Coturnix japonica: one gene and its partner. The protein of the gene in region 2 purifies or fractionates together with the protein of the main gene of each other region. This does not show direct contact. Links are inferred from orthologs where the notes say so. Each region holds a gene or a part of one and is shown on either strand. Other genes may lie near its edges. The genes, in order: FBXO45 and NMNAT2.

The links.
Region 1: the proteins of NMNAT2 (region 2) and FBXO45 purify together in Homo sapiens (co-immunoprecipitation; 3 studies listed by BioGRID and IntAct, with this or other methods). This does not show direct contact. The link is inferred for Coturnix japonica from reciprocal best matches to the Homo sapiens genes NMNAT2 and FBXO45.

What each region holds. Positions count from the first base shown.
Region 1 is NC_029524.1:3,579,949-3,584,310, reverse strand, and holds the start of FBXO45 (F-box/SPRY domain-containing protein 1), read left to right. Parts: upstream 1-1,561; 5' UTR 1,562-1,768; coding exon 1,769-2,020; intron 2,021-2,100; coding exon 2,101-2,457; intron 2,458-4,327; coding exon 4,328-4,362. Other genes in the region: WDR53 (WD repeat-containing protein 53), read right to left, coding at 1-282, 1,018-1,497. UniProt on the Homo sapiens protein: Component of E3 ubiquitin ligase complex consisting of FBXO45, MYCBP2 and SKP1. Functions in substrate recognition but also plays an important role in assembly of the complex.
Region 2 is NC_029523.1:4,385,616-4,388,837, reverse strand, and holds the end of NMNAT2 (nicotinamide/nicotinic acid mononucleotide adenylyltransferase 2), read right to left. Parts: intron 2,791-3,222; coding exon 2,723-2,790; intron 2,572-2,722; coding exon 2,469-2,571; 3' UTR 523-2,468; downstream 1-522.

The DNA of each region.
Region 1 (4,362 bases), on a different chromosome or scaffold from region 2:
GCAGTATGACTCTGGCATGAAGAGCACCTGCGATACCCCCAGACTGTGACCTTTAAACTCCAGCTCACGTTCAAATTTGAGACCGGTGATTCGGAATATTCTGACTTTACCATCTTGAGCTCCGCAGCCAAAGACGTTGCCGCACGATGCGACAGACAGGGAATGTGCAAGTGGCGGGTTAAAGAGCTGCCCGGCTGACTGCAGACTGTCTTCCTCTGTTCCACACTCCTGCAGGTTTACGGTCCACAGGGGACGAGCCTTCTGCAGGTTCCACAGCATAACCTTGGAAAAGATCAAAGGAATCTGTCATTTACCCATTTCACTTCAAAGAACACCAGCTGTAGTTCCCCTAACACCGCCTGAACCACAGAGACCTTTGTACAAGTGACAGTTTGCATCTCGGGCTAAAACAGGAACGTGGTCAGACCTCAACCACGGGAAGGGAAGTCCTGGGGGGTGGGGGGGTGTCCGGCCCAGAGCACAGGAGCTGAGCGGAGGCCTCGTGGCAGCTGCAGCTCATAGGGAGCAGATGGGCAGCGCTGAGCTCAGCTCGGTGTGACAGCGACAGGGCCCGAGGGAACGGCATGGAGCTGTGCTGGGGAGGGGGCACCGACAGGGTGTGACACACGGGGACAAGGCAGAGAAGTGTAAAAGGCAAAGAACATTCAGCACGGAATTCTGCAGGGGGTGAGCTCAGTAACACGCTCAGAGCAGCCAGGTAGTTCTGTGTGTGCGTTCAGCACTCTGGCTGCCATCTGCTCTGCCTTGGGCACTTTGTTTTCCTCAGGCAGCTCTGCCCGCAGCCATTCACTCGGTGTAAGTGCAGGCTCCACACGGTGGGACAGCGCTGCTGCGGGCACGGCTGCTCCGCGCTGCCCCTGCATTGCCCCGTGCCGACCACATCCACGCTGCGATGAATGAAGCTCGGCACGACCCCGCGCCGCAGCTGGGCCCCACGCCCTGACCCGGGTGGAGCAGCGCGCAGCCCGGAGCCACCTGCCCCCATTACAAAGTCACCTGCATGTCCAGCCCGCACGACACGAGGCTGCGCGGCCTCTGCGGCCGGAAGGCGACGGAGGAGCAGATGTTGTGGTGCCGCAGGGAGCGGATCACTTTGTTGCCGTCCAGATCCACCACCTTGACGGCCCCGGAATCGTCCGCCGCGGCCAGGAGGGTCCCGTCGTGGCTGCTGGCCAGGCAGTCGATCTCGTCCTCGTTGAAGCGGAGCCGCTCCACGGGCTCCCGCGGCGCCCGCACGTCCAGCACCGCCACGGCCGGGCCGTGCGCGGCGTACAGGAGGTGCGGGCGGCGCGGGGAGAACGACAGCGCCGCCACGTCGTGCTCGGCGGGGTTGAGGCGCAGCAGCCCCGCGGACACGCCGTCCCGGCCCCACAGCGCCAGCTCGCCGCGCTCGGCCCCCGAGGCCACGGGCCCGTCGGTGCCGGCGGCGATGCAGAGCACGGAGCCGCAGTGCGCGCCGTGCCACCGGGCCGCCATGATGGCCGGCAGCGCGGGGACGCCGCTCTCGGGGCGGACGCCGGCTCGGCGCATGCGCGGCGGGCGGCTCGGGGCGGGCGGTGATGGCGGCGCGCGCCCCCTCGCCTTGAGGCCTCGGCCGGGCGGGCGGAGCGCTGGGCACCGACCCGCCGCTACCGGCACCGCCCGCTGACGGGAAGGGAAGAAGGGAAGGAAGGGCAGGAAGGGCCGCTCGGCTCCCGCGGCGCCGCCCCCCCACTGCCCCCCGGTCCAACCCCCTGCGCGGGGGGCGATGGCGGCGGGGCCCGGCGGCGGGGCGGCGGGGGGAGCGGGGTGGCGGCTGCCGGGCCGGGTGCTGGAGCTGGTGTTCTCGTACCTGGAGCTGCGCGAGCTGCGGAGCTGCGCGCTGGTGTGCAAGCTGTGGCACCACGTCCTGCACGGCGACGAGAACAGCGAGGTGTGGCGCAGCCTGGCCGCGCGCTGCCTGGCCGAGGAGGCGCTGCGCACCGACATCCTCTGCAACGTGCCCACATACAAGGGCAAGGTGAGCGCCAAGCCCGAACCCCCCGCGCGGCCGCGACGCCCCCCGCGGCCTGACCCCCCTGTTGGCTCCCCCCGCCTTAGGTCCGTGCCTTCCACCACGCCTTCAGCACCAACGACTGCTCCCGGAACGTGTACATCAAGAAGAACGGCTTCACTCTGCACCGCAACCCCATCGCCCAGAGCACCGACGGCGCCAGGACCAAGATCGGCTTCAGCGAGGGCCGGCACGCCTGGGAGGTGTGGTGGGAAGGGCCGCTGGGCACCGTGGCCGTCATCGGCATCGCCACGAAGCGGGCGGCCATGCAGTGCCAGGGCTACGTGGCCCTGCTGGGCAGCGACGACCAGAGCTGGGGCTGGAACCTGGTGGACAATAACTTGCTGCACAACGGGGAGGTCAACGGCAGCTTCCCGCAGTGCAACAACGCGCCCAAGTACCAGGTGAGCGGGCGGCCGGCCCTCCCTGCGCTCCCCGGTATCTTTATCTTAACAGGTATCACGGCTGTTCACACAACCCCTGTGTGGTTGGGTTGGAAGGTGCCTTACAGCAACCCTGCTCCCAATCCCTGCCGTGGGCTGGCTGCCCCCACCGGCTCAGGCTGCACAGGCCCCATCCAGCCCGGCCCTGAGCACCTCCAGGCTGCAGGAGGATGGGGCACCCACACTGCTCTGTGCATGATTCCTTTGTTTCTGCCTTCTTTCTCAAATACGTGTGGGTGTTATTAGAACACCGCATCCCCCGCTGCAACAAAAGCTGGCACTGCTCTCAGGAGCATTAAAGGGCCCAGCAGTGTCTGTTGACGGTGGGTGTTTCACCCCTGTGCTGTATGCACTGTGAGCACAGGCCGTGCTGACATAGGGCCCTCCTATGCCGTGCGCTGCTTGCTGGCTCTCTGGGCTCCTTCCCATGGGTGACATCCTTTGGCTGGGCCCTGACGTGTGGCTGATTTGGGGTTATCAAAGTACAGGTGCTGCTCCGCTGTTGTGTCTCGCAGCGAGTGTTTATCTTTGTTCTGGTTCCTGCACAGCTGCCTTTGGACTGATGGTTTTCCTCACGTTGCATCTTCAGCCGTGTTGCAGCTCAATTCCAATCTCACAGCGTCACGGTTTGGGATGAATAATGCCTTGTGCTTCAGCTGTACGTGAAGATCTTGGCATTAACTCAAGGCTGATATTTCTACATCCCATATAAAAGCTCACTGCCGAGCACTCAGCTCAGTCTGGAAATGATATCTGCCATTTTTGCTATTGAGAAGTAAATGTGGATCAAAGAGAATTGGCCCTTTCCATCCCTGCCCATTGGCAGCCCCTTCCTGCTGCCCCTGTCTGGGCCTTTCTGTGCAGCAGGATGAGGAGAGGTTTTAAAGCCAGGAGAGCTCCCATGGGGCCTGCAGGCTGAGCTGCGCTTCCTTCTTAAGAACTGGTGAGGGCTTGAATCAGCAATTTGTATTTGCTAAGATGTAGAATCACAGAGTTGTACACAGACGGTCACCTGCTCATAGGAGACACGCTGCAGGGAGACACGCACTTGTTAGCATTGGTTAGAAGCAAAATATATTGGCTGGAAGGAATCCCTGGCGCTGCGGTTGTCTGGTGGAGGAGCACAAGTTTGTGCTATCTCATGCTGCATTTGCTGCTGGTGCCTCTCCCTTCTGTTTATATTTGAAAGCAGCAAGTGCAGGATAAACATGGGGAGCATCCCATGCACCGTGCCCCAAACCTGTTGCATTTGGTGTTGGTTTTACCCACACATGTGTATCTATACTGTAGGTTTTGTGTACCCATCTTGCCAAAGATTTGCACTGAATTCTTTTTATGCCTTGCTAAGGGAGCACCGCCGTCAGCTTGTGCCATCAGAATGTGTTCTGGGGATACTCCACACCTGGCTTTTACCTTTAAAACAACTCATCTAACGTTGCTCTTTGTAGGCTCTGCTGGTCACTGCTGGCAACAGAGCCCTGGTAACTTGGGGCTATTGGAAATGTTCAGGCTCCTGCTGTGTTCTGGAGCAGAGCTCTTGCTTGTGCTGCTGCTGCAAGGTCCACTTTGATGGGCTGTGTCTGATGCTGGGAGGGTGCTTAGGCCTGGGCTGCCTGCAGGAACAGGCAGCAGATGTACGGGGTCCATACGAGAGGAATGGAGACATCTCTGTTGTGAAAGCACCGAGGAAAGCCTCGCTTTAACCTGATCTGTGTTATCCACGGATTTTGCTTTGGTTTTTGGGTTGTTTTGTTGGTGTTTCCATCTGAATATATTGACTCTTTCCTCTTTTTTTGTTTCTTCTCCCTCTTCTTCCCATCTCTGTTTCCAGATAGGCGAAAGGATTCGAGTTATCCTGGACATGGA
Region 2 (3,222 bases):
AGATCCACACGCACCCAGGAGCTGCCTCACACCCCAGCAGTGCTGGAAAGTCCCTTCCTCACCTCCCCACCATCTGCATGGATCTCAGAGGATGAGTTTTTCCATACCCACCCATAGATGTTTTCCAAACCAATCCCAGCGTTGACTGACCTGTAACAAACCCCCCCCCCCCCCACCCTGTCCTTGCCCCGTTCTGAGTTTTGCTGAGCAGATACATGAAGGCATAGATAGGACTAGTAAGACAATATACTCATCATCCCTATCACAACACTATGTCTCTAAGGCATGCCATCCTAACCATGATGAGATGGAAAGCCAGCTGGCTTCCTGCACATCCCATCTTGTGTACCTGAGGGAGGGAGGAGAAGGGCTTCTGAGGTTGCTCTCAGACTTGCCGACCTCTCTCCTTCTTCATCTCCTCTTTTGTTACTGTCTTTTCCTCTCTTAAAAGCCACCATCCTTCCTTCCTCTTCAGCTTCTTCACCTTTCCCAGAGGTTCCAATCCTTTTTTGTGTGTGTGTGTGTGTGTGTGTGTGTGTTGGAGGCTGGTTTCTAACACTGCTGCTTTTACTCCAGCTTGGAGCTAAGAAACATGGGTGATGACTGAGGATGTTTTCGGGGATGACCTCTGTGTTGGGGTGGAAAGGAAAAACAGGCTGAAACCCTGAACATGGAGGATAGCAGAGGCAATGGATTTAGAGGAGTCTAGCTATCAGCTTATGTAGGTTGGGTGCTCATGAATGAGATGCCCAGCTGGAACCTGTTGAAACATTAGCCTGGGGGTTCAGCAGGATGGGGGCTTATCCCTGGAGGTGTTCCTGCACACTCTGTCCGCCCTCCCTGGTCTGGGATCTCCATGCCCCCTCATCCCTCAAGGTACGTACACAACTGCCTGGAAACAGCATGGCTGGATCTGAGAGATTCAGCACATTTGCTGCTAAGACATCGCATGTGCTGACTGTGTCATTTTTGCCCAGCGTTTCTGCTGTTAGGGAGGTGACTTCTCTGGGAGGGGGCTGTGGCACAGGGGACAGCAGTGCCCAGCAGGTCACCAACCTTAATGCAAAGCCTCATCTTTGAAGTTTCCAAAGAGCAGTTTGTGACTTGGTAGATGTCTGGGAGCTATAGACACTAAGAGATATGAAGCTGGAAGGAGTAAAGGGAGGGAGAAAAGGATGGAGGAAAGCAAGACTTGTACCTTCCTCTCTGTGGCTGTCATCTTTCAAGAGGCTGAGCCAGCAGGACCAGCAGGGTCCTTGCACCCTGGGATACCCAGTAGGACAGCAGCCTGCTTAAGTAACCCTCATCTCTGCAGGACTGGAATTATTCCCTTTTGCTCCATGCTCCATGCCTTATTTTTTGGCATCTGGCTGAGCGGGTTCTACCAGGCATGTCACAAGCAGGAAAGCAGGAAACTGGCTTGTCTCAAGGGATGTGTGAAGTACCTGAAGCCAGTTTGGAAGGGCAAATACATCATGCATAAACTTCTCAAGGACAGGAAGAGGGAAGGAGAGAAAGGAAAAATGGGAATTTTACAGCCAGCATTGGAGAGCTGGAGGCTTGATGATGAGGACGGACCCAGTCCCAAACAGCTCGGCCAGGCCTGGGGCAATTCTCATCAGTGGCTCTGGGCCACCTCCTCCCCTCTTCTTCCTCCCTTGCTTCTTGTTGTTGTAAATGGCAGATCCCTTTCTAGGTGCTGTAGGCTGCCTCTTCTGACATGGGGCTGGAGTACAGCATCTATCCTTGGCTTTGGGGTGGACTGGATTCACTTGCAGACAAGAAGAAGTGAGACATTCCCCTGGTAAGTTTTGCTCTGGCAGTAGTCCTTGCCCCTTCAGAAATACCATCTTCATGACTTGTCAGGGCTAAGTGGAGGATTTTGTTGGCTGGGTTGTCCTTACTGCTGGCCTGAAGAGGTTCTGCAGGACACAGAACCACTTGCATTATGCTTGCCCACTGCCCGCCAGGATTCAATGGGAAGCAGGGCACCGTGGCAAGAGAGCTAAGGAGCTTGTACTACAGCTATTTAATTTTTTTAAAAAAAAGGAAAAAAAAAAAAAAAAGAAAAGAAAAAAATCAGCTAGATTTGTTGAGCAAAGAGGAAGCCCCTGTTCTGAGCATGCGGGGAGGATGGACTAGGAGGACCATTTCCCAGTCACATGCCAGGAGTGAGGGGTGGAGGTGCCCCTCAGTGAGCACACTGAGCACATCTCTGCCCCCCTCCTTCCCCGTATACAACAGGGAGGACAGTTCCCATAAAATAAAAAAAAATAGAGACCAAACCATTCCACGTGGGGCCGTGCTGCCGGTCCCTGGATGTTGCTGCACTACGGAGCGTCAGTGCTGAGAGTGAGAGGCCATGGGATGGGGAGAGAGATGGAGACGCAGAAAGAGAGAGAAAAGTGTGGTGGAGAGCTGTAGGGACACGGGATGACAGGGCTGTTCTGCTGCACGGCCTGTGGCACTTAGCCAGAGGCATTGATGTAGAGCTGGCTCTTGAGGATGTAGTCAATGACAGGCTGGCAGAGGTAATCCACAACGTGTCCATCCCCGTGCTGCAGGGCCAGTCTAGGGGAGAAGGGGAAGAGGAGGGTCAGAACCCATGTGGGGGTTGGTCGGCCCCTTTCCAGGAATTAGGGCTTCTTGAGCAGGGGCTGGGAACAAAGTGGTGTCCCCATGAATGGAGAGGTTGGCAGGGGGCACCCTGAGCATCACCCACCTGCTTTTGGTGGAGCTGACGACCGACATGGGGTGGTTCGAGTCGTCCTTCACCACCAGGATGTTGTTCTGCGGGTGGAAAAAGAAGAGATGAGCAAAGGGAGGGATGAAAATCAGTGTTTGCCCCACCTGTGTCTGGTTGGCCATGGAGGTCTGCTGCCTGGTGGCCACATTCGTGATCCCAGTTAGCAGCTGAGGCAAAAATAAGGGGGGAACTCTCCAGGTCCCATGTCCAGTGTGATGTTGATGGGTCTGGGGGGACACTTTGAGGCCCTCAAGACAGTTTAATCTCATGGACAGGGTGTAGCAAACGGTGACAGTGAGAGCTACAAAGACAGTATGGAGTCTGGAGAGCAAGATTATGGGGAGCAGCTGAGGTGCTGTGGTTTGTTCAGCCCAGAGCAGAGCAGGAGGACAGCAACAGGGCTCATGGGAGAGTCATGGAGCTGCGTCAGGGGAGAGCTGGGGGTAGCAGAAGGGTCTGCTCTGTGGGACAGTATG